Cricetulus griseus: one gene and its partners. The protein of the gene in region 1 interacts with the protein of each later gene in a pairwise test. Links are inferred from orthologs where the notes say so. Each region holds a gene or a part of one and is shown in the gene's direction. Other genes may lie near its edges. The genes, in order: Kash5, Bag5, Senp2, Rnf146, cytochrome b-245 chaperone 1, Upk1b and Emd.

The links.
Region 2: the proteins of Kash5 (region 1) and Bag5 interact in binary tests that used the Homo sapiens proteins (3 or more experiments, as listed by UniProt). The two-hybrid records come from large-scale screens. The link is inferred for Cricetulus griseus from reciprocal best matches to the Homo sapiens genes KASH5 and BAG5.
Region 3: the proteins of Kash5 (region 1) and Senp2 interact in binary tests that used the Homo sapiens proteins (3 or more experiments, as listed by UniProt). The two-hybrid records come from large-scale screens. The link is inferred for Cricetulus griseus from reciprocal best matches to the Homo sapiens genes KASH5 and SENP2.
Region 4: the proteins of Kash5 (region 1) and Rnf146 interact in binary tests that used the Homo sapiens proteins (3 or more experiments, as listed by UniProt). The two-hybrid records come from large-scale screens. The link is inferred for Cricetulus griseus from reciprocal best matches to the Homo sapiens genes KASH5 and RNF146.
Region 5: the proteins of Kash5 (region 1) and cytochrome b-245 chaperone 1 interact in binary tests that used the Homo sapiens proteins (3 or more experiments, as listed by UniProt). The two-hybrid records come from large-scale screens. The link is inferred for Cricetulus griseus from reciprocal best matches to the Homo sapiens genes KASH5 and CYBC1.
Region 6: the proteins of Kash5 (region 1) and Upk1b interact in binary tests that used the Homo sapiens proteins (3 or more experiments, as listed by UniProt). The two-hybrid records come from large-scale screens. The link is inferred for Cricetulus griseus from reciprocal best matches to the Homo sapiens genes KASH5 and UPK1B.
Region 7: the proteins of Kash5 (region 1) and Emd interact in binary tests that used the Homo sapiens proteins (3 or more experiments, as listed by UniProt). The two-hybrid records come from large-scale screens. The link is inferred for Cricetulus griseus from reciprocal best matches to the Homo sapiens genes KASH5 and EMD.

Annotation. Positions count from the first base shown.
Region 1 is NC_048599.1:154,082,637-154,086,136, reverse strand, and holds part of Kash5 (protein KASH5), read left to right. Parts: intron 1-2,857; coding exon 2,858-2,935; intron 2,936-3,220; coding exon 3,221-3,277; intron 3,278-3,500. UniProt on the Homo sapiens protein: As a component of the LINC (LInker of Nucleoskeleton and Cytoskeleton) complex, involved in the connection between the nuclear lamina and the cytoskeleton.
Region 2 is NC_048598.1:182,322,582-182,326,837, forward strand, and holds the start of Bag5 (BAG family molecular chaperone regulator 5), read left to right. Parts: upstream 1-1,456; 5' UTR 1,457-1,629; coding exon 1,630-1,643; intron 1,644-2,836; coding exon 2,837-4,205; 3' UTR 4,206-4,256. Other genes in the region: cytochrome c oxidase assembly factor 8, read right to left, coding at 836-964. UniProt on the Homo sapiens protein: Co-chaperone for HSP/HSP70 proteins. It functions as a nucleotide-exchange factor promoting the release of ADP from HSP70, thereby activating HSP70-mediated protein refolding.
Region 3 is NC_048597.1:66,907,723-66,911,222, reverse strand, and holds part of Senp2 (sentrin-specific protease 2), read left to right. Parts: intron 1-2,589; coding exon 2,590-2,723; intron 2,724-3,500. UniProt on the Homo sapiens protein: Protease that catalyzes two essential functions in the SUMO pathway.
Region 4 is NC_048595.1:247,900,041-247,904,192, reverse strand, and holds the start of Rnf146 (E3 ubiquitin-protein ligase RNF146), read left to right. Parts: upstream 1-1,352; 5' UTR 1,353-1,461; intron 1,462-2,148; exon of another isoform or gene 2,149-2,208; intron 2,209-4,152. UniProt on the Homo sapiens protein: E3 ubiquitin-protein ligase that specifically binds poly-ADP-ribosylated (PARsylated) proteins and mediates their ubiquitination and subsequent degradation. May regulate many important biological processes, such as cell survival and DNA damage response.
Region 5 is NC_048600.1:133,705,601-133,709,632, reverse strand, and holds the start of cytochrome b-245 chaperone 1, read left to right. Parts: upstream 1-1,232; 5' UTR 1,233-1,476; exon of another isoform or gene 1,477-1,487; intron 1,488-2,001; 5' UTR 2,002-2,037; coding exon 2,038-2,122; intron 2,123-3,625; coding exon 3,626-3,667; intron 3,668-4,032. UniProt on the Homo sapiens protein: Functions as a chaperone necessary for a stable expression of the CYBA and CYBB subunits of the cytochrome b-245 heterodimer. Controls the phagocyte respiratory burst and is essential for innate immunity.
Region 6 is NC_048597.1:51,378,160-51,381,659, forward strand, and holds part of Upk1b (uroplakin-1b), read left to right. Parts: intron 1-596; coding exon 597-671; intron 672-1,306; coding exon 1,307-1,429; intron 1,430-3,500. UniProt on the Homo sapiens protein: Component of the asymmetric unit membrane (AUM); a highly specialized biomembrane elaborated by terminally differentiated urothelial cells.
Region 7 is NC_048604.1:1,456,020-1,458,555, reverse strand, and holds the end of Emd (emerin), read left to right. Parts: intron 1-164; coding exon 165-298; intron 299-1,169; coding exon 1,170-1,216; intron 1,217-1,298; coding exon 1,299-1,629; 3' UTR 1,630-2,036; downstream 2,037-2,536. UniProt on the Homo sapiens protein: Stabilizes and promotes the formation of a nuclear actin cortical network. Stimulates actin polymerization in vitro by binding and stabilizing the pointed end of growing filaments. Inhibits beta-catenin activity by preventing its accumulation in the nucleus.

The DNA of each region.
Region 1 (3,500 bases):
TTTTTTAAGTGATGGTATGCTGAAAATGGAACCCAGGTTCTGGCATGTGTTAGGCAAGCAACACTGAGCGATATCCCCAGCCCTGGGTTTTTTGTAACAGGGTCAGATGGTGTAGTATGGACTGGATTTGAACTCCTAGTCCTTCTGCTTTAGCCAGGTAAGATCTGGGACTGTAGGCAAGTTCCTGCATACCCAGTCTCTTACCAGTTTTTTGTTTTGTTTTGTTTTTCCTGTTTGTGGTCTCATAGTCGCAGATGACTCAAGGCAGATGGGGAGGCACCAGCCCCCCCCCCCACACACACACACACTCCTGTCTCTCTATCCCTTAACCACAGCTGGAAGAGAGCCTGGGAGGATGTCTTACCTTCAGCCTGGAGCTAAGATAGTCAGCAAGGTGGGGTTGGGATAGCTGCTTCTTTAGCAGGCAGGTTTCCTTGTCACTGCCCCAGGGCATGCAATGCAAGACAGCAAGAGTCAGCCCTGTGAACCAGCCACCAGCACCCCTGCCTCCTGCCCCAGGCCCAATCTATGCCCTCAGAGGAACTTCCTGGGCATGCTAACTCCATAGCTAGAGCTATTCTCAGCTCCTTGCTGGCCTTCTGCAGCTACCCACTGAGATCTAGAGATTGAGATCTCAGGTTACAGCCGGGCCTGGTAAAGTAATGGGACACTCAGCCTCCAAAGGTCTGGCTGCTGGCTGAATCCCAAAAACCCACAGCCTGTGCTTCTGCAGAAGGCTGCAGGGTGCTTTTGGGTCCCACCAGGTGGACAGGTGTTGACACAGCACTCCCAGCTGTCCTTCCTCTGCCCTTCACCCAGCAGCAGCCCAGACTGCTGAGTGAGAGGCACTGATGACCTGGAGCAGGAACAAGGCTGGAGACCAGAAGAGGTAGCCTCTGTCTCCTAGGGCTCTGGAGAAGGATGAGGTGTGCCAGACTTCAGGTATCCGGAAACTTGGACTTTGAATTGTCATATTCTGGTTGGTTTGTTTTTTGAGACAGGGTTTCTCTGTGTAGTTTGGAACCTGTCCTGAACTCTCTCTGTAGACTAGAGTGGCCTTGAATTCACAGAGATCCATCTGCCTGCCTCTGCCTCTCCAGTGCTGGCACTTAAAAGTGTATGCTATCACCACCTGGCCTGTTTTTGATTTTTGAGACAAGGTCTTGGTATGTAGCCCAGGCTGGCCTGGTACTCAAAGCAGTCCTCCTACCTCAGCTTCCCTGGTGTTGAGATGATAGGTGTATTTCCTCACACCCAGATTTGGGCCATTTTATTCTTAGGTCCCACTGGGCAGCTGTTGTGGGTGACTATTCCTGACCTCATTGCCTCCCCTTGGAAGGCTCAGCCCAGGCACTACCTCTTCATCAAGCCCGGTGGCTGTCCCACCACCCAGCTTGGGCCTTCTCAGTGAGCCTTAGGCTAAGCACTCTCTGCTTCTCCCTTGTCTCTCCTGTGCATCTTGTGGCTAGAGCACCACTGCTTCTCAAATGTCTTTTGTCACCCCAGGGCTTCATCTGGCCCCCCAGAAAAGGTTGAGTATTAGAAGTGGCACTGGGCTAGGTGGTGGTGGCGCATGCCTTTAATCCCAGCACTGGGGAGGTAGAGGCAGGTGATCTCTGTGAATTCAAGGCCAGCCTGGTCTACAGAGTGAGTTCTAGAACAGGCTCTACAGTTACACAGAGGAAACCCTGAGGGGGGGGGGGGAAAGAGGCAGGGCTGGGCATCACACAGATGGGATGGCCTTGCCAAGTATTTTAGCATCTATTCAGTTTCCTTTGTAGAGCTGAGAGGAAGGATACTATTAATGGCTATACAGCCACAACACCGTTCTGTTACAGAGCCAATGTAATGTGGACAGTGCGAGCCCTGGGTCTCCCTGCCTGCCTGCTGGCAGGCAGGGAAAAGGGCACATGTGGCACATGTCAGCACGTGTGGGTGCATATCAGCACAGGAGTCCACATCTGGGGGCATCCAGCCTTGTGTAAAGTCTGCTGTGTGCCAGCCATAGTCTCCATGCTCATGCTATTTTGTTGCTAATTTTGAGTTATGGTTTTGCTAAAGGAAATAAGTTGTCATGAGTAGGTAACACTGGTGTTGTTCCAGGGGAAATGGGAGATCTGATTTAAAATGACTGAATTAGACAGGAAGGCAAAAGAAGAAACCAGAATATATTTATTGCAACTGGGCATGAGGATTAAGTGTAATGGCCCATACCTGCTGAAGCAGGAGGACCACAGGCTCAAAGCCAGCCCAAGCTACATATTGAGTGAGTGAGTGTGTGTGTGTGTGTGTGTGTGTGTGTGTGTGTGTGTGTGTGTGTGTGTGTGTGTGTCTGTGTGTGTGTGTGTCTGTGTGTGTGTGTCTGTGTGTGTGTGTGTGTGTGTGTGTGTGTGTGTGTGTGTGTGTGTGTGTTCTGGGCTCATTATACTTACTTTTAGTTTTGTATGTTAGGGAACATGAGTTTAAGTATCTATAAACATTTATCTTTAACATTTACATCTGGTACATGCCAGCTACAGTTGACTCTGCTCTAAATATCTGTGGTCATTAACATTCACTGGCCTGTGTTAGAATAAGAGCTTTGTGATCCAGATCATATTACTCCATCCCTCTGTGCCTGAGTTGCCTGTATCTTTAAAAATGGGGAAAGAAATGGAATCTCACATGCAAAATGCTTGGAAGTTACTGGGTTATTTATCTCACAGGGACTCCATGAATCAGTGGGGAAACCAGCTGTGGAGAAATCCCAGCTGAGGGCCCAGCAGGGTGGTGGGAGAATGGAGAAAAGACTGAGGTGCATACAGGGCATACAGCATTAGCACCGCCAACTGGTGAGCAAGGCTGATCCTCCCTCCAGAATGGGAAGCTGCTAGCAGAACGAGACGGAGTGAAGAGGCGGAGTGAGGAGCTGGCCACAGAGAAAGATGCTTTGAAGGTGCAGCATTTATTTGTCCAGGCCTGAGGACCAACCGTTCACCTCCTGCACCCAAGTCAGCACTGCAGCTGCTGAAACCAGGGTCCTGCGCCAGAGTCCACATGGCTTAGGGCTGCCCAGGCAGCTCAGCTAGAGTCCCCTTCAGAGCAGCTGATAGCCATAGCTGTCACTGGAGGCTGAGGGGAGGCCTGGCCAGGACCTGGTAGGGGCAGTAGGAGGCTGAAGGGAGATGTGGGGGCTGCTGGGAGGCTGGGTGAAGAGATAAATAGGCTCCTTCCTCGGCAGCGGCAGCTCTGTGAGTGCGAACAACTCATTTGCCAGCGTGAAGCAGTCCTCTCAGAGGTGAGGGACAGGGAGGGGACAGACCTACCCTTAGCATGCCTTCCTAGCCCCTGCCTTGTGTGGCAGGAGCCCACCCAGCTCTGAGCCCTGGACAAACAGCCCAGATAGGCCTTCTCAGGTCAGTGTGGCCTGCAGGGTCTGGAAGCAACTCTTCTCCAAGCTTTCCCAACTCAGCCAGCTCCCAATTTAGCAGCCTCCTGTCTTAGGGGACTGAACCCCAGCT
Region 2 (4,256 bases), on another chromosome or scaffold:
TCTCTCTCTCTCTCTCTCTCTCTCTCTCTCTCTCTCTCTCTCTCTCTCTCTCTCTCTCTCTCACACACACACACACACACACACACACACACACACACACACACACACCCCAAAGTAAATGCTTGGCTGAGTTACATTTCCCCTCCCCAAACATGTTCAGACACCTGTTTCGTTTTTCCTTCTGCCCAAGGACTAAAATTCTATTTTTCTAGAGACAGAAGTGAAGGCTTGTCTGTTTCTCGTGCCAGGGAACCGAGCCAGAGGCCAGGAGCCCGGGCAACAAACCTTAACTGGAGACTAGACAGACTTCAAAAGCTGTAGTTCTAATAAAAGTGTTTCCGAGACGCAGCATAACAGAAATGGAAATTCACACAGCAGGCACATTTTGCAATTCTTAATTATCTCCCCCACACACCTTTTTTTTCCCCGCTGCGGCCCTTTAATTATTGCTTAAGCAAACCTCGCCAGCCTGTGTCGCCGGCCTGCTGGCAAATGCAGTGCGGGCAGCCATGGGCGCTGTCTAGTGCTCTCCACCTGAAGCCTCAGCCATCACTCTCACTGGCCCGGGCCTCCCTTAAACGAAGCACCGGCTCGGGAAGAAGGGCGGCGGGTTAAACAAAAGCCGAGCGCCCGGCCGCTTTCCCGGCTCGCTGCGGACGCGCCCTGCGGCCTCTGACGCTGCGCGACTGTTTACAAACAACGCGCGGCCCGAGCCGCCGCCGCCTCCAGACCGAGCCCGGGCGCCTTCGCGCAGCGGAAGTGAGGGCGCAGCGCGCCGACAGCGCTTCACGCCGGCTCCGGGGACGCCCCGCTCCCTCCCCGGGCGTCCGCTCACCGGGCTGGACGCCGCATCCCTGCGCTCCGTGCCGCGTTCCCGGGCCAGCCGGCCGCCGCCGCCGCCGCTGGACGAGGAGCGGACGAGCGGCCGGACGAGCGCTCCGCTTCCGGGCCGCAGAGCCGCCATGGCCGGCGCGCGGCGCGATCGCGACAGCGCCGCGGTCCGCTTTACGGCAGCGTCGCGCGGGCGGCGGCGGGCGGCGCGGGCGAGGCCGACCGTGCGCTTTCCCGGAGAGCGGCGGCGGGCGCGCCCGGGGCGGGGCCCGGCCGCGTTTTTCCCCGGGCTCGGAGCTGGGCGGCCGGCCCCGCGGCGGGCGCCGCCTCGGCAACGCTGCGGAAGTGCAGGCGGAGGAGCGCGCGCGATGGCGCGAGCGGCCCAGGTGAGCGCAGCGCAGCGCGGGGGGGGCGCGGGCCTCGTTCTCCCCGCCGCCGCCGCTCCCGCGCGCCCATTGTGAGGTCAGGCGGCGGCGCGTCGGGCCCGGCCGAGACGCCCCGGAGCGGCCGCCGCGGCCAGTAGCTGCCGCCGCCTCCGCCGGCCCCTTCACCGGCCGCCCGGGTCAGACCTAGCCGGGAAGGGCGAGGGGGATGCCGCTGGGGGCCCCGCTCCGGCGCCGCTCCCCGTGACGGGCCGGTCTCCCGCCTCGCCGCCCTCCGCGGCCGCCAAGACCGCCGCCGCCCGCACCTCTCCGGGCTTGGACTGAGTTCTGTGGCCGGCCCGCCGGAAGTGAGCGGTTTGACAGAAACCTGAGAGACGGAACGAGCGAGCGAGCGAGCGTGGGAAAAGCTCTAAGCATGCTTACGGGGAGGCGAGTGACCCAGCTAATAACCGCACTTGTCACGCTTTCTGGCGGGGGCCCGGGTCGGGGCAGCAATGGGAGTCGAGGGGGGCGAGGACTTCGTGGAAAGGACAAGTCCGGTTGGGCCTGGGGCAGAACGGTGGCCCGGTGAGGAGCCCCGGAGAGCGCCCGATGACTTCCACAGGGGAGCCTCCCGCCCCGCCTGCCGCTCCCAGTCGTCCTCTAGGGCGGTGGGAGCAGAGGAAACGGGGTTGACGCGGATGGTTTGGCCTCCGTGAAAGTGTGTGCGTGTGTGTGCGTGTGTGCGTGTGTGCGTGTGTGTGTGCGCGCGGCTCACTTTGATTCCCAGGCCCAGACATCCACCCCAGACTGGACAGACTTCTCCCTGTTTTCGTTTTGCTTTTGAGTCAGGATCTCACTGAGTGGCCCGGGCGGGTCTTGAACTCCTAATTCTCTTCCCTCTGCCTCCCTGGCGCCGGGCGTGTTGGCACATTGTTTTGTGAAGTGCTTTCCCGAGAGGGAGTTAACATGTCACATCTCCTCTTTCCTCGAGTATGTCTTCCAAATCTATAAATAACGACAAAACCTTCCGTCTGTGTGTTTTGGTGCTTGCCCGGGTGCCAGAGTTCAACCCTGCCCCCCTCCCCCCAGACACACCATTTCTGTGGTGTCCTTCTACTTTGTTTTTTTTGAGGCGGGGCTTCTCATGGCCCGAAGCTCCCCAATCGGAGTAGGCTAGCTGGCCAGTGAACCACAGAGTCCACGCGTCTCTGACTCCTGGCACCGGTGGTGTAAGTGAGCACCATCTTGCCTGGCTTTTACGTTTTATGTGCACCGGTGTTTTGCCTGCATGTATGTGTGTGCATCACATGTGTGCCTGGCGCCTGTAGAGGCCAAAAGAGGGGATCAGATCACCTGGAACTGGAGTTACAGGTGACCAGGAGAGGCCATGTGGGTGCTGGGAATTGAACCCAGGTCCTCTGGAGAGCATCCAGTGCTCTTAACCACTGAGCCCTCTCTAGGGCCCTTGCCCTGGCTGTCTTTGCATGTGTTCTGGAGCTCCAACTGGAGCACTTGACTGACAGCTGTCTCCATAGCCCCAATTAATCCTTTAAAAAGTATGCCTTTTAAAAGTGAGTTTAAAGTGGGTTGATCTAACTGTCCTGCAGAGACTGTAATAAGTTACTCTTGCCGTCTTTCAGTGCTTGTGAAACTGAACACAGAAGTATGGATATGGGAAACCAACACCCTTCTATTAGTAGGCTTCAGGAGATCCAAAGAGAAGTCAAGAGTATAGAGCCTCAAGTGGTTGGCTTCAGCGGCCTGGCGGATGACAAGAATTACAAGAGACTGGAGAGGATTCTGACGAAACAACTTTTTGAAATAGACTCTGTAGACACAGAAGGAAAAGGAGACATTCAGCAAGCTAGGAAGAGGGCAGCGCAGGAGACAGAAGGCCTTCTCAAAGAGTTGGAGCAGAATGCAAACCACCCACACCGGATTGAAATCCAGAACATCTTTAAGGAGGCACAGGCCCTTGTGAAAGAAAAGATCGTGCCCTTTTACAGTGGAGGCAACTGTGTGACTGACGAATTTGAGGAAGGCATCCAGGACATCATTCTGAGGCTGACGCATGTTAAAACAGGAGGGAAGATCTCTTTGCGGAAAGCAAGGTACCACACCCTAACCAAGATCTGTGCCGTGCAAGAGATCATTGAAGACTGCATGAAGAAGCAGCCTTCCCTGCCGCTCTCTGAGGATGTGCACCCTTCAGTTGCCAAGATCAATTTGGTGATGTGTGAGGTGAACAAGGCCAGGGGCACTTTGATCGCACTTCTGATGGGCGTGGACAGTACTGAGACTTGCAGGCACCTATCGTGCGTGCTGTCAGGGTTGATGGCTGATCTAGATGCTTTAGACGTGTGTGGGCGTACGGAGATCAGAAATTACCGGAGGGAGGTGGTGGAGGACATCAACAAACTACTGAAATACCTAGATTTAGAAGAGGAAGCTGACAGTACACATGCATTTGACCTGGGGCAGAACCATTCCATTCTGAAAATAGAAAAGGTGCTCAAGAGGATGCGAGAGATAAAAAATGAACTTCTCCAGGCTCAGAGCCCTCCCGAACTGTACCTGAGCTCCAAGACAGAACTTCAGGGCTTGATCGGACAGCTAGATGAAGTCAGTGTTGAGAAGAACCCCTGCATCCGGGAAGCCAGGAGAAGAGCCGTGATTGAAGTGCAGACCCTGATCACGTACCTGGACCTCAAGGAGGCCCTGGAGAAGAGGAAGCTCTTCCCTAGTGAGGAGAACCCCCCACACAAGGCTGTGTGGGATGTCCTTGGAAACCTGTCAGAGATTCAGGGTGAAGTCCTCTCGTTTGGTGGAAACCGAACTGATAAGAACTATATCCGTCTGGAGGAGCTGCTGACCAAACAGTTGCTGACCCTGGACGCTGTTGACCCCCAGGGAGAAGAGAAGTGTAAGTCTGCTAGGAAGCAGGCTGTGAAGCTGGCCCAGAACATCCTCAGCTACCTTGATCTGAAGTCCGACGAGTGGGAGTACTGATGGACCAGGAGCTGCTCCTGCTGGTTCACACTTTATCTGCTTTTAGAGAGC
Region 3 (3,500 bases), on another chromosome or scaffold:
CTTTGGTGGTATTAGAGAAGGTTCCTGGGTTGGTTGTATATGGTAATCATCTACATCTGGCCTAAGGATCACCCCACTCCTTCATTTCTGTTGAATACAGAGTTTGATTTCCTTACTGCAAACAGCAGAAAGTAATCTGAACTGGAGATGAGCTGGGTACACAGTGTGCTGACCAGCAGATCTTCCTGTGCTGATGACTGTTGATTACGTCAATTGTGGCTAGTTTAACTCAAAGAATTGAGGGTTTTGAAATTTTTTAAATTTTGTGTATGGGTGTGGGTGGTGTGTGGGTGTGTGGCTAAGTGGTCCAAATTGGTCTCAACCCTTTGTTCCAGACTCCCAATCTCTGGAGTACATATGTGAGCCATCACACCTCAATAAAGAACTGAACTTTTAATTTTCACTCATTTAAACAAAATTGCTAGGCATCCACACCTGGCTTCTGGCTTTTACATTGGGTTACTCTGGGTACCTTTGGGGAGGAGAAGCAGAAGAGGTGAGGAAAGGAAGAAAGGAGGAGGACCTCATCATAGCAGACCCATGACTTTACAGTGAAAGCCAGAGTCTCAGGAGAACTGTGTAGTCTTGAGTCTCTTACAGGTGAGACCTGCCTTTGTGAGAGTTCAGCGGATAAGTTAACACAATATTAGGATAGTCCCCCCCCTTTTTTTTTTTTTTGGTTTTGGTTTTTCGAGACAGGGTTTCTCTGGCTTTGGAGGCTATCCTGGAACTAGCTCTTGTAGACCAGGCTGGTCTCGAACTCACAGAGATCCGCCTGCCTCTGCCTCCCGAGTGCTGGGATTAGAGGCGTGAGCCACCAACGTCTGGCGTCCCTTTTTTTTTTTTAAATAAAATTTGTAGGCAAATAAAATAGAAATGATTCTTCAACTTATTGTAGGAATAACGTGAAATTGTCTCCAAATTCCTGAAATGGAAAACAACAATTTAAAAAGTTAGAACTTCTCCTTTTTGAGACAGGGTCTCCATATGTAGCACAGGCTATCCTTAAGTTCCTATGTTGCTTAAGGCTGGTCTCCAGCTTGAGATTCACCTCATGAAGTTGGGATGTATGCTTGCTATTTTTATGTCAACTGACTGAAGCTGGAATCATTGGAGAAGAAGGAGCCTCAGTTGAGAAAATGTCACTATAAGATCTGGCTGCAAGCAAGCCTGTAGAACATTTTGTTAATTAGTGACTGATATGGGAGAGCCCAGCCCATTGTGGTCCCACTGGATTGGTTGTCCTGGGTTCTATAAGAAAGCAGGTTGAGCAAGCCATGTGGAGCAAGACAGTAGCAGCACACTCAATGGCCTATGCATCACAACTCCTGCCTCCAGATCCTTGTCCTGTGTGAGTTCCTGCCCTGACTTCTTTGAAGATGAACAGTAACGATAGAGTGTAAGCCAAATAAACCCTTTTGGTCATGGTGTTTCATCACAGTAATAGTAACCCTAACTAGGACAGGATGCTTCAGTGTCCTGAATGTTTGAATTACAAGTATGCACCATCGTAGTCAGCAAACAAGTAAATTACTTCCAGTTTGGATTCTGCTCCACCTCACCAACACATTTTCTCGATTATTGGAGCCATTCCCCTTTTTAGAGAATATTTATTTCGTATTTTATTTATATTGGAACTCTGTTGCTTTAAAGCTACCATTTTAGGCTATTTTTTTTCTTAAGGCATAAAATAATTCTTTATAATTAATTAGTAAGTACAAAGGAAACTGAGAAACACAGATGTGTAGGAAGTGAGGAGGTAGTACTATGAAAGAAGGAAGTGGAGGAGCACTGAAACACACTCCCCTTTTGTTTACTTCTCTGTTTTGTAATCTTTGGTACCAGGAAGAAGTGAACTAGAAATTGTCCAATGCATCTGGTTCAGTAGTGGGATAGCTTTTTGTCACAGATGCTTAAGAGCTGTGTGTTTTATACTGCACTCAGTCAAGATTTATGAGGGGCTTTGTAGATGCTTGTTTAAGATAATCAAATTGTCACCTGCCTGGGAAGGAATGGCAAACTGAGTAAAGGTCAGTGCTCTCTGTGTGTTTTCCATACCTAGCAGTATGTATGTTCCTTGTTCATTTATCTTTCATCTCTGTGGTTTCTTTATGCATTCTACAAAGCTTACTGCTTAAAAGCTGCTACTTGAGATAATTTCTTGGTGAATCAGTTTGTGGCTTATTAAAGTAATAGTTTAATGTTTTTATAGCAGCTGTGGTAGTTGATTAAAACAAAATTCACATGTTAGAATTCCACTTATTCAGTTTATTCATGTATGTATGATGCACATGTGTGAATGGAGTTATGCTGTAACATACCTGTGGCGGTCAGAGGACAACTTTGTGGAGTCAGTTCTGTCTTTATGTGGGTTCTGGAAATCAATCTTAGGTTGCCAGGCAGGCTTGCATAGCAAGCACTGTGACTCACCAAGCCACTTCGATGGCTCCCAAATACTTTTATATTATAGATACAGTTTTATTTCAGTGTTCAAAAGTAAGACTTTATTAAAAACTAGTAGAGGTTCTTTTCAAAACAATTAATTTTTTCTGCAAGTTAATGCTCTGTTTATAATTTGTTATTTTTTAGATTGCTTCATTCACCAAGTGAAAAACAGTCTCTACAATGCTGCAAGTTTATTTGGAGTCCCATTCCAGCTGACCACAAAACCCATGGTGTCTTCTGCTTGTAATGGAACACGGAATGTGGCCCCTTCAGGAGAGGTCAGTGGGGATGGGGCTTGGCTACTGGTCTTTTTCCTTTCCCTTTTTGATTTTTGTGTGGAGATGGAACCCAGGACCTCATACATCTTTTGTTTGTTTGTTTTTTGAGACAGGGTCTCTTTTCATAGCTCTGTGTGTCCTAGAACTCTCTATGTAGACTAGGCTGATCTCAAACTCTCAGAGATCTCCCTGCTTCTGTCTCCTGAGTTCTGGGATTAAAGGCCTGCCTGTATGGATCTTGTATATATTAAGCAGTAGTCTACTACTGAGTTACACCTCCAGCCCAACACACTGTGATGTTTATAAATTGAATTTAAAAAATATTCTCATAGATTTGGGGGGAATTAACATATAGGTTGACTTATTTCCAGAAATGATCATGCATTTATTACCTTTGATATGAAGGTCAAGAAATTAAAGGTTAAAAATTTAAGTATTTTAAAAAATATTTATAAAGAATATTAGGAGGCAGCAAAATGGCTCAATGAGTAAAGACTAAAGTAAGCTCAGGCTTGCTGCTAAGCCTGATGAACTTAGTTCAATATCCAGGACCCACACTGTAGAGAGCTAGTTTCTGCAAGTTGTCCTCTGACCTCCATGTCCACGCACATGGACACCCCCCCCCCCACACACACACACACACTCAGCAATGCAATACTTTAAAAAAGAACTTTGGCTCCCTTAGTCTGATGCCATACTCTTTTGATCCTAGTGCTCAGAAGAGTGCTGTGGGATAGTTAGCTGACCTTGGACATTCAGGACCATTGTGACAACCTA
Region 4 (4,152 bases), on another chromosome or scaffold:
ACGTATATGGAAGATGCTGTGAACTGATTGGCTGACTAAACTTTGTAATAGTGGTATAGGAAAATGCTGCAAACAAGAGCCAAATATTTGTTCCGCCCCCACATAGTCGCCATTTACTCTTAATCCCTGTATCATCTGAATTAACATCTTTCTGACTGGAATACAACGTTGAAACCTAGCTGGCCAGTAGCTTCCTTTTTTATTCCCCGTACCCAGTGTGGTACTGGGGATTGGATCCAGATGCTCAAGCATGATAGGCAAACACCCTACCACTAGATACCTAGTTCGTTTTCAATTATAAAACCAACGTTATAGCACCGAAACCTAAACAATATGCTCTGTCACAGTCGCCCAGCTACCCGATGGACTACCCCTACCAAAATATTTGATAATACATTGACGTATAATCTTCCCTTTTTGTGGCTATACAAAGTTCATGTAATAATATTTCCTAGAACAACAGACTGAGTAGCCCGAATCCATGCTCGGGATTCAGTTACTCATGGCTGTCTCCACATGAATTCTTCCTCCTTTCCCTTAAGAGCAGAGGCTGTGCTTTGTAGCTATCATATAAGCACCCGAAACATTTACAGTCCTGGCATTGAGACAGTTAATAAACCTCAAAATGCAACATTGTTGCAAGCACAATGCAACAGTTACAGGAGGCGGAAATACTTTCAAAGGTGACGAGGCCCCGCTAATCCACCTAGTTTAACTACAACTTGAGAAAACTCACTCAGCTCTGTAAAAGACCATGTGTGGGTAAAAACGAACGACTAGATTTTGATGTTTAAAACTGTATGCTTGCCATCAAATGAATCGGCAAAACTTACTCTAGATTCTTAAGTCGATTGATTTCCTCTTCTAGCTTCCTAGGCTGTTAGGGTACAAAAGACTTGTTGAGACCCCCAACACGTCCCCTCCCCCATTAAATTTCCTAGCCATTTGTGAGTGAATAAACTGGAGCATTCCAGGGGACCATCCAGTCCACGCCGAGTCTTTGCAGATGTCTTCTTGATAAGGAACAAGCAGTTAAGGACACTTCAATTGGAAACTTAGGGCTTGGCCCAAGGGCTTCTTGGGGTCAGAAGGCTGGATTTCAGGAGAGCTCCTCTTCCTGGTCCCGGATGTCTAGCTCCCTCGCTCAGTGCTCTCTGGTGGCACCCCACAGTGTCAGAGCCAGGTGGTGATAAGGTGCACAAAGAGCATGGGAGGGATCGCGGCCAGAGAGCCGCCCCGCCGCGGGGAAGGGCAAGAGAGGTCTGCAGGCAGAGCGTGCACCGCCCGCCCGCCAGCCTCCGGCGCCGCGCGCGCGCTCGCCGTGGGGGCGTGGCTTCCGTCGGCGCGGCCCCGCCCCCTCGAGCGCCGGGCGTCACGTGGCGGCCGCGCGCGTCCCCGTCCGCTGCGGGCTCCGAAGCGGAGGAGAAGAGGCTGCGAGGTGGCTGCGGCGGCGGCCGAGAGGTGGGCACCGGCGGGACCGGTGGGGAGCGCGTGTGTCCGAGGGCTGCGGGGCCTCGGCGGGTGGCGCTGCGACCGCGCTGGCTGCGGGGCGGCGCCTGGAGTGGCGGCGAGCGGCGGCGGGTCGGGGCCGGTAGGACAGGGACGCCCTTGGCCAGCGCGGCCCGGACGGGCGCGCGGAGGGAGGCGAGCTGGCGCAGCCCGGAGCGTGACGGGCGCGGCCCCGGCCATTACTACGCAGGCCGGGCTGCGGGCAGCGCCGCGGGGCTCGGCCGGGCTGCGGGCAGCCACGGGCTGCATTCTGTCTGCCGTCTGCGGTGCTGCTGCTGCTGCTGCTGCTGTGCTGTGCTGTGCTGTGCTGTGCTGCTAGCCTGCCCAGCGCCCGGAGCCGTCCCTCCTCCTCGCGCTGGCGGAAGCCGCCGAGTGTTCTTGTTTTGATGGCTCCCAAAACCTGAAACCACCCCGAGGTGTCGGAATACGCGTCGGGGCCTCCCTACCCGGGTGCATCCGAAGATCCCCGTTTCGTTTGTCGCTTTGTTCTGGTTGCTGGGTGTGGAGTTCTCTCCCTTGCCCTCCACCCCATCTAGGAGTGCACGGGATCCTCATTGTTCTGGCTGTCTTATTTTCCTGAGCGGTGTTGTTTTTATTATTATTTTTTTCTTCTTCTTTTTTTTTTTTTTTTCTTTTAAGAGAGAAAGGCATGGTTACGTTGTTTTTGAGGATATGGAAATGGAATCGTCCTCTACTTAGGTAAGAGATTCCGGACTGTGAGTTAGCACACGCATTCTGACAGCTATATTTTGTCTTTTCTCCGGGTGCTGTTTAAGCACTTCTCAAGTTTTCAACATTTTGGGGTTTTTGTTTTGTTTTTGTTGTTTGTTTGTTTTTTAACAGTACCGAAATACTTGACAAGAACTTAGGGAAGAAGAAAGTCAAAGGAGATAGAAAAGGCTTTGTTCATTGATTGACATTTCAGGTGCTAGGGTGTGTTCACCCCCTCCCGCCGTGTGTTTGTGTGTGTGTGTGTGTGTGTGTGTGTGTGTCTGCCTTCCTTGTTTTGTAAACGGGATGTGCACCTGGAACTTGGCTATTGAAAGTTGTATATTGTCATCGAATTTGAGCATGTAGAACATTTCAGTAAATGACCTATATTAGACTTTTTAAAGGACATGGCATATTGAAAACAAATGAAGGAAATGACCCATACAAACTAGCAGCAAAGCTCCTGGGTGCTGTGAAAACACATGAAAATAGGTCACTTAAATCTCATTTTTAAAGAGAAAACTCGAGAGTGACTGCCACACTAAAGGAGTTTGGGATGTGTTTGGGTCTTGGATATGATACAGTGGAACACTTGGGTTTATGTCTCAAATGGGCCTATGTAATGTGGGCAGAATGAAAACCCTTGTGCTTAAATGTTTGAAGATTTCTGTTTTGCTGGTGAAGAACTGAGTAGAGTTGTAATCATGGGAAAACATCCCAAATAGCTGGTCATTAGATAAGAGGAATGCAAAAAAAAAAAAAAAAAATTCTTTTGGGAGACTCGTCAAGTGATAAGAGTCACTTTTGCATTGTTTTCTTTTTTGTTTTTAAAGGATTCAAGATAATTCCTTGACCTGAAAAAACATAATAGGAAGAACTTTTTCATATTCATCTGTTTACGACACATTTTCTGTTAGCCATATATGTGCTTGACGGATTTAACCAGTTGTTACTGATTCTTACAAATATTTTCCTGCAAGAATTAGAGGTAGAAGGTACTGAGTCTTTTTTCTGTCCTCTTGCCCAGTTGGGTTCTTGATAACAGAGGGAATTTGTGGAACTGTTGGCCGGATTAGAAACAGTCTTTCTGAGGATAGACACTATGTCTACACTGGTGTACAGCCTCCTTTGCTAATTTGTACTCTCTCATTCACCTTAGTTAATTAATACAAAGCCTGTTGTTAAAGGCCTCTTAATTAAAACATTTAAAATTGTAGAATCACAGAGGAGAGGGTGAAGCAACAAATACGTAGTGATGACTTGACCAAGGTCTCACATCTTAATTAATAAGAGGACTTTGTTATTTACATAATGGTTGCTGGCCATGAAACCTGATTGATGAGATTAAAGTGTCTGTTGACATTCATATTTCCTGAGTTATTGAAGTAAATGCAAAACCCACTTCGAAGGGAAGAAATTTGAAGATTTACACCTAAATATGAAGACTGTGAAGGCAGTCGGTAGTCATAGGATGATATTGTTTACATTTAACTGAAATTGAGTTTTGACAGAACACTTGTTTCCAATTCGACTTAGCCCTTTTTTTGAAAGCTGATGTGATGAAGTACAAAAGTTACATGCCTGTGAATTTGGGAATCTTTTTTAAGAAATTTCAAGATGTGTGTGTTAAATCCCACCTGACCTCTGCTCTCTTTTCCTGTGTTTATAATAGATACACATGTAGGTAAACTTGTATACAGAGGGAGGTTTGAAGTAGTACCCCATCATTGACACCTTTTTTATACAATATATCCTGTTTTGTGTATTTTGAATAAAGAGTAAACTGTTTCTTTAATTCTTTAAATAGGGAAAACAGAAAGTGTTCAAGCATATATAATTTGATATTTATGTTTTTAATTATGTTTTATATATTCTTGTTTTTCTTTTATTTTTTAAAGGTCAATATTTTATTCAAGTCGGTTATCTAGGGAC
Region 5 (4,032 bases), on another chromosome or scaffold:
AAAACCTCTTCAAATTTCATTTATTTTACATTGTTCGTAAAATTGTAAAATTCAGGTTGTCAATGTTTCCCACGCTGTCCTAGTGTAACCTCTTTATCATTTCCTTAAAACTCCAGAACCAACCAGGGGTGGTGGTGTACGCTTTTAGTCACAGCACTCGAGAGGCAGATCTCTTGGAGTTCGAGGCCAGCCTGGTCTACAGAGGGAGTTTCAGGACAGCCAGAGCTACACAGAGAAACCCTGTCTCCATAAGTCAATAAACAAACAAACATAGATAAATTGAAGGGAGCAGGTAAAAGCACCTCAAATAGATAGATGGTAGGCAGGCAGACAGAAGACAGACCGACAAAGGGAATAGGCAAAAGCACCTTGGCCAGATTTGACTTCAGACTCCATTTTACCTGTAGGGTGAGACAAAGTTCAAGCTGAGAACCTTCCAATATATGACTTACCTCCGTAAACTACAGAACTAGTCATTATGCGTCTCTAGCTCTCTAGAAACATGGCTATTACTAACAACAGAAGGAACAAATAAATTTGATTGCTTGGACTAAAAGCTTGCATTGTATTTGTTGACAGTGATGAATACTCAAGGAAGCCCCTAATCTCTAAATCCTTATTGGTGAAAATTGTAACTGTAACTTGGCAACCAATGTTTGTGATTTTTGTGCTTAAACACTTGCTTCAACTGGCATTTGGGGTGGCCGTTCAGCCCCAGAGTCTTTTCTGTGGCCCGAATGATCCATCAGCCCCCTCTCCTTTCCCCCTTCTTCTTCTTCTTTTTTTTTTTTTTTTTCTTATTTTTTGAGACAGAGCTTCTCTGCCTAGCATTGGAGGCTGTCCTGGAACTCGCTCTGTAACCCAAGCTGGCCTCGAACTCAGATCTGCCGGCTGGGAATGAAAGCGTGCGCCACCACCGCCCGGCTCCTTTTGTGCTGCCCGTGTTAAATCTTGCCTTGAGGTAACCTCTTGTGTCTACCTGGGTTGATTCACACCCTCGGACCACAACAAAATGAATAAATAACTAAACAAATAGATGGCGACCCATCGCTAAGGCTCCTAAGCCGCTGACGCCGCGCTCGGCGGGCCCCAGCTTAGACTCCGGCCCCATCGACCGAGCCCGCCCTCCAGCGCCAGGCCCCGCCCCGCGAGTGCGGAAACGGACGCACAACTCCGGAAGGCGTCGTCACTCAGGCTCCGCCCCTCGGGAGTCCCCACCTGGCTTTAGCCCGGAAGTCCTGGGGACTGAAGTCCGGAAGTTCGGGAGGCTGTCCCCTAGTTCCCTCCCGCTAATTCGGTGCGAGTCGGTTGGTGCCCGCGCAAGTGTGTCCCAAAGCTTTTCTAGTTCCGTCTCGCTGTGCTTCCCGTTCTCATGTTCGTGCCCTGTGCGGGTCACTGTTCGCGGACCTGGATCGGGCGTGTGCACTGTGCGGAGCGAGCATAACGGGCCGCTCGTGGAGCTTGTTGGTAACTGAGGTCAGAGGGAGGCAAGTTGTGTGCCTAACGGGGATTCCAGAGCATGCAGGGCACGATGCTTGATTGCACCTGGGAATCCGAGGAGCCACTCAACACTGGGGCTTTGGGCGTTGTCTCCAGGGGTCTTGCCACAGTGTCCCATTAATTCGGATGCATTTGGGCCATAGTTAGTATGACGGCAGAAACTCAGACACAGGGCACTTTCAGTTCCCTTTCTTGATGGGAAGAGGAGTTTCTGGACGATTCGGCTAAGGTGCCGGAAGCCTGAGAGTTGCTGGAGGCTAACAGAGCAACTTCAAGACGAGGATTCGGTTAAGGAAAGGGTTCCCAGATATGACTGTGGCTTGGAAGTAAGACCAGGCCTCACTTTCTGGGCTGTGTTGTCCCTGTGCCCATGTATAATTGTGAGTTGAGACAGTCTCGTGGATAAAGGCCGCTGTGGACCTTCCCCTGGCCTCCTGTTTAGACTGATGAGGTGCTGCCTGTGTGCAGTGGTTGCAGGCTTCAGCTGTGTGTCTTTCTCAGCCGGGTCTGCTGTGAGGTGAAGCCCAGGTTCCAGAGATGTACATGCAAGTGGAGACACGAACCAGCACCCGCCTCCATCTGACGAGGGCTCCAGGCATCCGGTCTTGGTCCCTGCTGGTCGGTAAGACTTATGTTTTTCCCAAGTCAAATCTTAAGTGATGGGAACAGTTTCTTCGTATTCTATTGGAGGTTCTTGTCAATACAAGACCTTGGTAAAGCATGCTTCATTCACTTTGGTGTGCCTTCCCTTTCAGAGGGCATGCAGGGTCCCCTTAACAGACATGCACTCCCAGCCTGTCTGCTTTCTTGAGGTCACTAGGTTTTCTTCCATGTGACAGGTGATCATGGGTTCACATTTCTCTTCCTCCCTGTCTCCGTCCTCCTGGACTCTGTCCCCCATCACTGCCTACCAGAAGTGTCTTGCATCTCATGAACAGCTGCACTTGTGTTGGCTGGGCTGTTCAGAGTCTGAGGTGAGGTACTGGCTGTGACTTCAGCAGCAGGTTCTCTATAGTCCTTTATGATTCGTGAAGGTCCTCATGACATTCTGCATACTGTGCTCTGTGTTGTATTATCTCTGTGTAGTCTTGTCTTTGCTCCTCATCACAGGTAGGCAATACTGACATCTGGGTCATTGCATTTTTCATTTGATTGCAGACGAGTCTGGTGAATGCCATGGATAGCATAACCTGTTTTTTTTTTATTTAATTTTTTAATTATGTAAGTGTATCTATGTATGGGTCTGTGCAGGTGCATATAGGTGCTGTGGAGTCCAAAATAGTGTTACATCTCTGGCGCTGAAGTCACACGAGGTTGTGAGTGGCCTGCGGGTGCCAAATGTTGGACTTTCTTTGGGCTGTCAGTCCACAAATAACGAAATGGAAATTTATTATGAAAGTTTGGCTTTTAGCTTAGGCTTGTCCCCAACTACCGCCTATAACTTAAACTAACCCGCATCTATTAATCTGTGTTCTGCCATGTGGCTTTTTTTCTATAAATAATTATTTAAGTTTATTTTATGTGCATTGATATAAAGGTGTCAGATTCCCCTGGAACTGGAGTTACAGACAGCTATGAATTGCCATGTGGGTGCTGGGAATTGAACCTGGGTCCTTTGGAAGAGCAGCCAGTGCTCCAACTGCTTGCTTCTCCAGCCCCCATGGCATGTGTTTTTTTCTACATCTCTTCCATTGTGTTTGTCTGACTTGGTCCAAATCTTGTTGAGGTCTCTGAGTGCCTAAATTCATCCCAAGTTCCTTTCGCTGCTCAGAAGTACTGCCTATTCTCTCCTGCATAGCTGTTGGCCATTCAGCTCTTTATTAAACTAGTCACAGTGACACATGTTCACACTATGTGATAAAATGGCCCACAACAGTGCTGAGAACTGAACTGGGTTCCTCTGCAGTAGTATATATTCTTAAACAATAAGCTATCTTTCCAGTCCCCCCCTCCCTATTTTTAAACAAACTTCTTGGCTGTGTCCCCAACCCTGCACTAGGTAGCTTCTACCTGCTGCCCCTGAACAAGCTATCCTGCTGTGAGACAGGCCTGCTTTGGGGGGCTGCAGCACAAGAAGAAGGGGAACTCTCCTTGACAGTTAACAAGATAATCCCTCTCTCCACAGGAATATTATCCACTGGCCTGGCTGCTGCCTATTATAGTGGAGGTAAAGTATGTTTTTCCCATCAGCTTCCTTGTACTTGGAAATAAACAAAAAGCAGAGAGCATTCCTAGTGTGTGTAACCTTTGGGGTGGCCTTTGCCTTGCCTTGTGTGAGAGATGACTATAGTCCATGTCCTGTACCTTAAATTTCTTCCTGTTATAAAGTACTCTCGGAAAGAAGCTCTTTAGTATTTATTTGCCTGCCACTTTGCTACAGGGAAAAATCGTGTGTCTTACCCTCCATGACAAGGTATATAGATCTACCTGTCTCCTAGGTGGACTTAGGCAGAGTTTGGGATACACATGTCACCAACGACCCAGGAAGGTACAGGAACGCAGTTGACTAAGCCTGTAACCTGAGATGAAGGA
Region 6 (3,500 bases), on another chromosome or scaffold:
AGCATAGGCAGCACACAGAGAGCTCTGCTCTGCCCTCACCAGAGCTGCTATCACAAGGACATGGGTTTGTGACAGATCACCAGTAAGTCTCCATGCCTGAAGGTTGCCTGCTTGTTACAGATGAGCCTGAGTAGGAAAGACACAAGGCACTAAACATGTTCTGTCATCTTTCCCTAGCTTCTGTAGTTCTACATCTCCAGCAATCCATGAAGAAAATGATTCCCACTTAGAAGGGATTTACAATGTAAGGCGTCATGTATAAAGCACTAAGGCCACTGAGCATGTGTGTGTACACGAAAACTCTGAAACACCCACACATTCCTTCATTGCTTATATTAGCTCCACCAAGTTAAAATAGAAATTCATGATGCTGGATGAGAAAGTGCTAAGTTGAATGGCCATGTCTCTAGAGATAAGCAGAGAACTGAGCTGACACTCATGTACCAGCCCCGTTCCAAGAGATCCAGCTGATCCAAGAGAGTTTGTACTACATAAGTGGCTTGTATAGCACATTCAGAGGAATGTGCTTAAATCTCACAGCAATCACGTGGTGAGTTTCAGTTGTAATTCTCTGTTCTCGTCTGTTTCCTTCCCAGTACTTCATTATGATGTTTATAGTGTATGGTTTTGAAGTGGCATCTTGTATCACAGCAGCGACACAACGAGACTTTGTGAGTATAGTCCCCAAAGCACAGAACAAAAATGATAATAGCACTGGCACCGTAGCAACTGACATGCATTAAGTCCTTGCTGTGTGCTGGTCATGCTAATATGCACACTATTAATACGAGTGCAGTTTTACTTAATACTCAGAAACCTCAAATGGGAAGTATTGCTAACTTAAAAGAGAGAGGAGGTTCCTTGGGTGGGAAGTGGGGGCGGGGGCATTAAAAGCAAAGAACATTATTTAAAGATAAGCAACTGACAGGTGACAGCAAGACTTCTGATCCCAGCAAGCCTGGTTCCCAATGCCCAACCTGTGATACTAACATTGTTCATCACGCGACCACGCTACAGCCTTCCTGCATGTTCTGCCTCGTGGAAGACACAATCCTGAATCTTTCTTGTTCCATTTCTCACCATTTCCTTAATCTATTCCATCTTAAAATGCTTGTCTATCCTTGGCATGCAGTGGTCTCTTCTATGGAAACCCAAAGTAGCCCCAGCCAAATGAGCTTGGTGCCCGAGGTTAGCTTCCCTCCATGAGGATGTTCAGTGTCCTTGACAACCAGCTCTGCAGAAGACTTTGCCTTTCTTGGGAGCAGGTGTGCTGACACTCCATCTTGTGTCGTCCCCATCCCTGCAGTTCACAGCCAACCTCTTCCTGAAGCAGATGCTGGTGAGGTATCAAAACAACAGTCCCCCAACCAATGATGACGAATGGAAAAACAATGGTGTTACCAAGACCTGGGATAGGCTCATGCTCCAGGTAAGATGTGTGGTTCTGCGGTGATCCAAAGCACATCTGAACCAGTAAGAACCTGAATGTGGGTGGGAGTGAGGTCAGTGCCTCCAAGGGCTTCCTTCAGTTAGAGACTTGTTCTTGGCTGGGTCAGCAATGCCTCTTGTTTACTGGCGAGGGTGCGGAAGGGGAATGGGAAACACTTGACTCAGTGAGGCCTCTGGATTCATACTTGATATCAAGCTATAATGCTGATTAGCCTGCCTTTACAGAGTGTATGTTAGAAACTTTAGATTCATAGTATGTTCTGCCTCTTACAATGTTAGGTCTCCCTTACATTAACAGGAAAAGGGGACTTTTCTCCCCCACAGCAAACTCAAATAGTGGTATGTGCCTGTCTCACCTTTGTATATCTCCTATGAAGAATTCTGCTATGTATCAGAAGATATGTTTGGATTTAATCACAATTTTGAGTGCACATCATTCCATACATCCAAACCTATTCCAAATACCATCAGAACCCCTAGTCTTCCATAATATTGCCCCATTTTATCTTTTGTGTATAATATGAGTCAACTCTTCATTGGCCCCAGCACACACACACACACACACCTCTCCCACACAATTCCCTCTCTCTCTCTCTCTCTCTCTCTTTCTCTCTCTCTCTCTCTCACACACACACACACACACACACACACACACACACCTCTCACACACACACATTCTCTCTCTCTCATACACACACACATAACTCTCACACACACAGTCTCTCTCTCTCTCTTTCTCCCCCCCACACACATTCTTTCTCTCTTTCTCCCCCCTTTCTCTCTCTCTCTCACACACACACATTCTCATGTACACACACTCACACATATACCAACCTTTCTACTCCTTTCAACTCTCCCTGCTTCACTAGAAACCTGGCTGCCTCCTAGTTTCCCTTATCTGTCCTCTTATGCTCATGCGCCCTAAGACCTAGAAATTGGCTAGGCTGCATGGCTTCTCTATTCTCTCTCCCCTTGAATCCTTTCTTGTTTAAACACTTGAAGTTTGTGCCATCAGCCTGTAATCTCTTTATTGTGGCTTTTTACCAAACACCTTCCAGTCACTGCCCAGATTTCACTGGGGATTTCAGTATCACCAACTATGTCCTCGTCATTCATGTTCTCAGCATCCTGCCTTGGACAAGGCTTCAAAAACCACATAGACACTTGGACAACACCTGTTCTCTCTTCTGCACCCCACAGATCTCCTCCCCTCATCTCAAGACACCGTCTTCCACGGCCACAGCCAGCATGCCGTCACCAATAACTATGCCACCCACTTTCTGACAACCTTCTATAATTTCTTTCATTTGCCCCCAATATCCTCATTTCATCATTTTATTCCATTAGAATAAATGATCAATTTATTTGTCTAGTTTAATTCTCTAGTTAATTGTCCATGTTTTCCTTTCCTATCACCCTTTCATGCTCTCTTCTTGCCATCACTCTCTTTGGTCCTCTCCTTTACTCCATTGTGTGTCTATTTTCACCAGTCTTTCCTACCCAGTCCCTCCAGAAGTGAATACAGTTTTTGTCCACTCCTCCCCTAAGGGCTAGATATTACTGAGGAAAGTCCCCCAGTTGTGCTAATTTAAATTTATGACTCTAAAGCTCAAATGGGCATTCTCTGTTTCCTGGTATATATTTTTTTAAATCTGCTTTGTCACTATTGCATAGATTTTCCTTTTTCCACCTCTGCCAAATTCCTCCCACCCCTCAGCCTCAGCAATAGCTGCACCTCTTAAGCAATGCCTTAAGAATATAGAAGCAATCAGATGGAGTCCATTTCACCTCTGCCCATCCACTATCTGCAGCGAAGCCTCTTCACTAGTGACAAACAGATTGCCCCAACCCAAGTCCTTGGCTTCCATCTGAGTTCCTCTGCCTTTCTTCAGCCTACTTGGCTCTGACTCACCAGTTCTCTCTAATGTCAGCCTACAAGAACATCTTCAAGAACTTTTGTCCAGTGTTCACCCATTATTCTGCTCCACTACTGTTCTGTTCCATGGCAAATCTCAGAAGAGAAACCTCTGCCTAATGTTTCCATTTTCACA
Region 7 (2,536 bases), on another chromosome or scaffold:
ACAGGTGTGGGGTGGGTCCTTTATCAGGGAATTTGGGCACAGGGAAACCTAAGACTTCACCCCAGTTCTCAATGGCTCTAGAGTGGAGAAACTGTCACAGCACACACACAGAATTTGGGGCCATGAGGTCACTTTCTCCTTTACCACTGTTTTTCCTTCCCAAGAATATAATGACGACTACTATGAGGAGAGTTATTTGACCACCAGGACATATGGGGAGCCCGAGTCTGTGGGTATGTCCAAGAGCTTTCGCCAGCCAGGGACCTCACTTGCAGATACCCACACCTTCCATCACCAGGTGAGTTGACTGGCAGCATATCTGGATGTAGTCTGAGAGGATCCTAACTGGGTCTGGATAAGTCCAAGGAGATATTAGGTACAGAGAGTAGTCCTTAGGCGGTCAAATAGGGTTAGGGTCGGCATACAGCTGTTTGGGTCAGAGTTCTACTTTGGGGCCTCCAAAACTGAAGATTTAATTACTTTGCCAGGCAGTGATGGCACATACCTTTAATCCTATCACTGGAGAGTCAGATGTAGTCAGATTTCTATTAACTTGACGCCAGCCTGGTCTACAGAGTGAGTTCTAGGACACCCAGAGCTACAAAGACAAACCCTATCTCAAAAAGAAACAAAACATTAATTATGTTTATGTGTCTGGGATAGTATGCATGAGTGTTGGTGCATTTTTAAAAAGTCTTAAAAAAAAATAAAAACCAGAAACCCAAGATAAAGTTGCATGACATTTTTAAAAGTTCATTTGTCCCATCATCTCTCTTTTCTTAATACAAATTTTATTCTGTAGCTGGAGCTACAGGTGGTTGTAAACTCCCTGGTGGTGAGTGCTGGACACTGAACTCAAGTATCCAGCCGATCAAGTATCCAGTCTACAAACTGTTTTGATCAGAGCACATGTAGCATTCTTTGCACTCTAGTCTGGGATCTAGTTTTAAGCCTTCTGAGAATAAGGGGGAATAAAAGGATGCTGAGACAGAGTTGACAGGTATAGTCACTGAGTAGCAAGGCTCCACAGGTAAAAAGGCCACAGATCAGAATCGTTCTGGAGGGAGGGGGCAATGGTCTGGCTTCTAGGGTATGATTAGAGTAGGCTGGTCAGAGACATTTTTGGGAAACCACCCTTCCCCCAATTCCTAACCCCTGTTGTCTTGCAGGTTCGTGATGATATTTTCTCTTCTTCAGAAGAGGAGGGCAAGGATAGGTGAGTAGTGAACACACATAAGGACAGGGACAGGTTTGGGCCTCAGGCTCTCCTGCCCACTTGTTTCCTTCTTTTGCCACAGGGAACGCCCCATCTATGGCCGAGACAGTGTCTACCAGAGCATTGCACACTACCGTCCCATTTCCAACGTCTCCAGGAGCTCCCTGGGCTTGTCCTATTATCCTACATCCTCCACCTCTTCTGTGTCCTCTTCTTCATCTTCTCCCTCTTCATGGCTTACCCGACGTGCCATCAGGCCAGAAAAGCAGGCTCCTATTGCTGCTCTGGGCCAGGATCGTCAGGTCCCACTCTGGGGCCAGCTATTGCTCTTCCTGGTCTTTGCTGCCTTTCTGCTCTTTGTTTACTACTCCATACAAGCTGAAGAAGGCAACCCTTTCTGGATGGATCCCTGAGAGTATTGGTTTCTGAGCAGCTCTTAACAAGAGTTTTGGCTGATTGCCTTATCAGTGTTTGCTGGGGGTAGGGTGGGTGAGGGCTTTTTATGTGTTCTTTAAGGGGTTCAGGGCCTAGCCTAGGGCAGTGCTTATCTCCCACCTCCTCCTGCCAAGAAGGCAGCAAATGCTGGCCTTCCACAACCCATTGGGCCCATATGTACCTTCCTCTGGAGCCTCCTAGTCCTATTGCTTCTGACCCTTAGGGCTCCAGGAGATAAGACCCCACTTCTTTAGAGGAAAACTTGGTGGAGGTGATGGTAGTTGTCATGCATGCCTGTTTGTTGTCACCCCTTTTTAGGGTGTATTAACCAAAGGCCACCCTGGCTTTGTTTTTGTGGACACAATAAAAAACACATTTATTTTTACTTTGTTGGCTCTTCCTACTGGGGTGGGAGTTGGGCTACTGTGGCACAAGTGCTTAGTCTTGGGTCTCAAAAATCACTGACTTTAACCTTTGGTTCTACATTTTAGTTTGTTCTTGGGGAAGGGATCCAGTGTTACCCAAAGATAAGTCTATGTTTTCGTTGTGGGTTTTATTTCTGGGCTCACTCCCTGAAGCACTTAACAACTACTTACAAAATAACTACCATGTAACCAAATGTGCCCATGGGAAATTCAGGCAAAACTGCATTATGATGATACATGCAGGCACTTTAGCCAGGAGAGGCTCATGCCAATATGTGAAGTTACAAGGTTAGAAAAGAAATGAGGCATCTTGCCAGTGGATTTTTTGCTCAGCTCCTGGGATTGATAGTTATTTGATAGCATGGGGGTAGATAGAAAAACTGCAGGATACTCATCCTAATTCTTTGCCTGTTTATTGTTGCTCAGTTTCCAGGTCTTCTGTCCTGGATACATATTACAT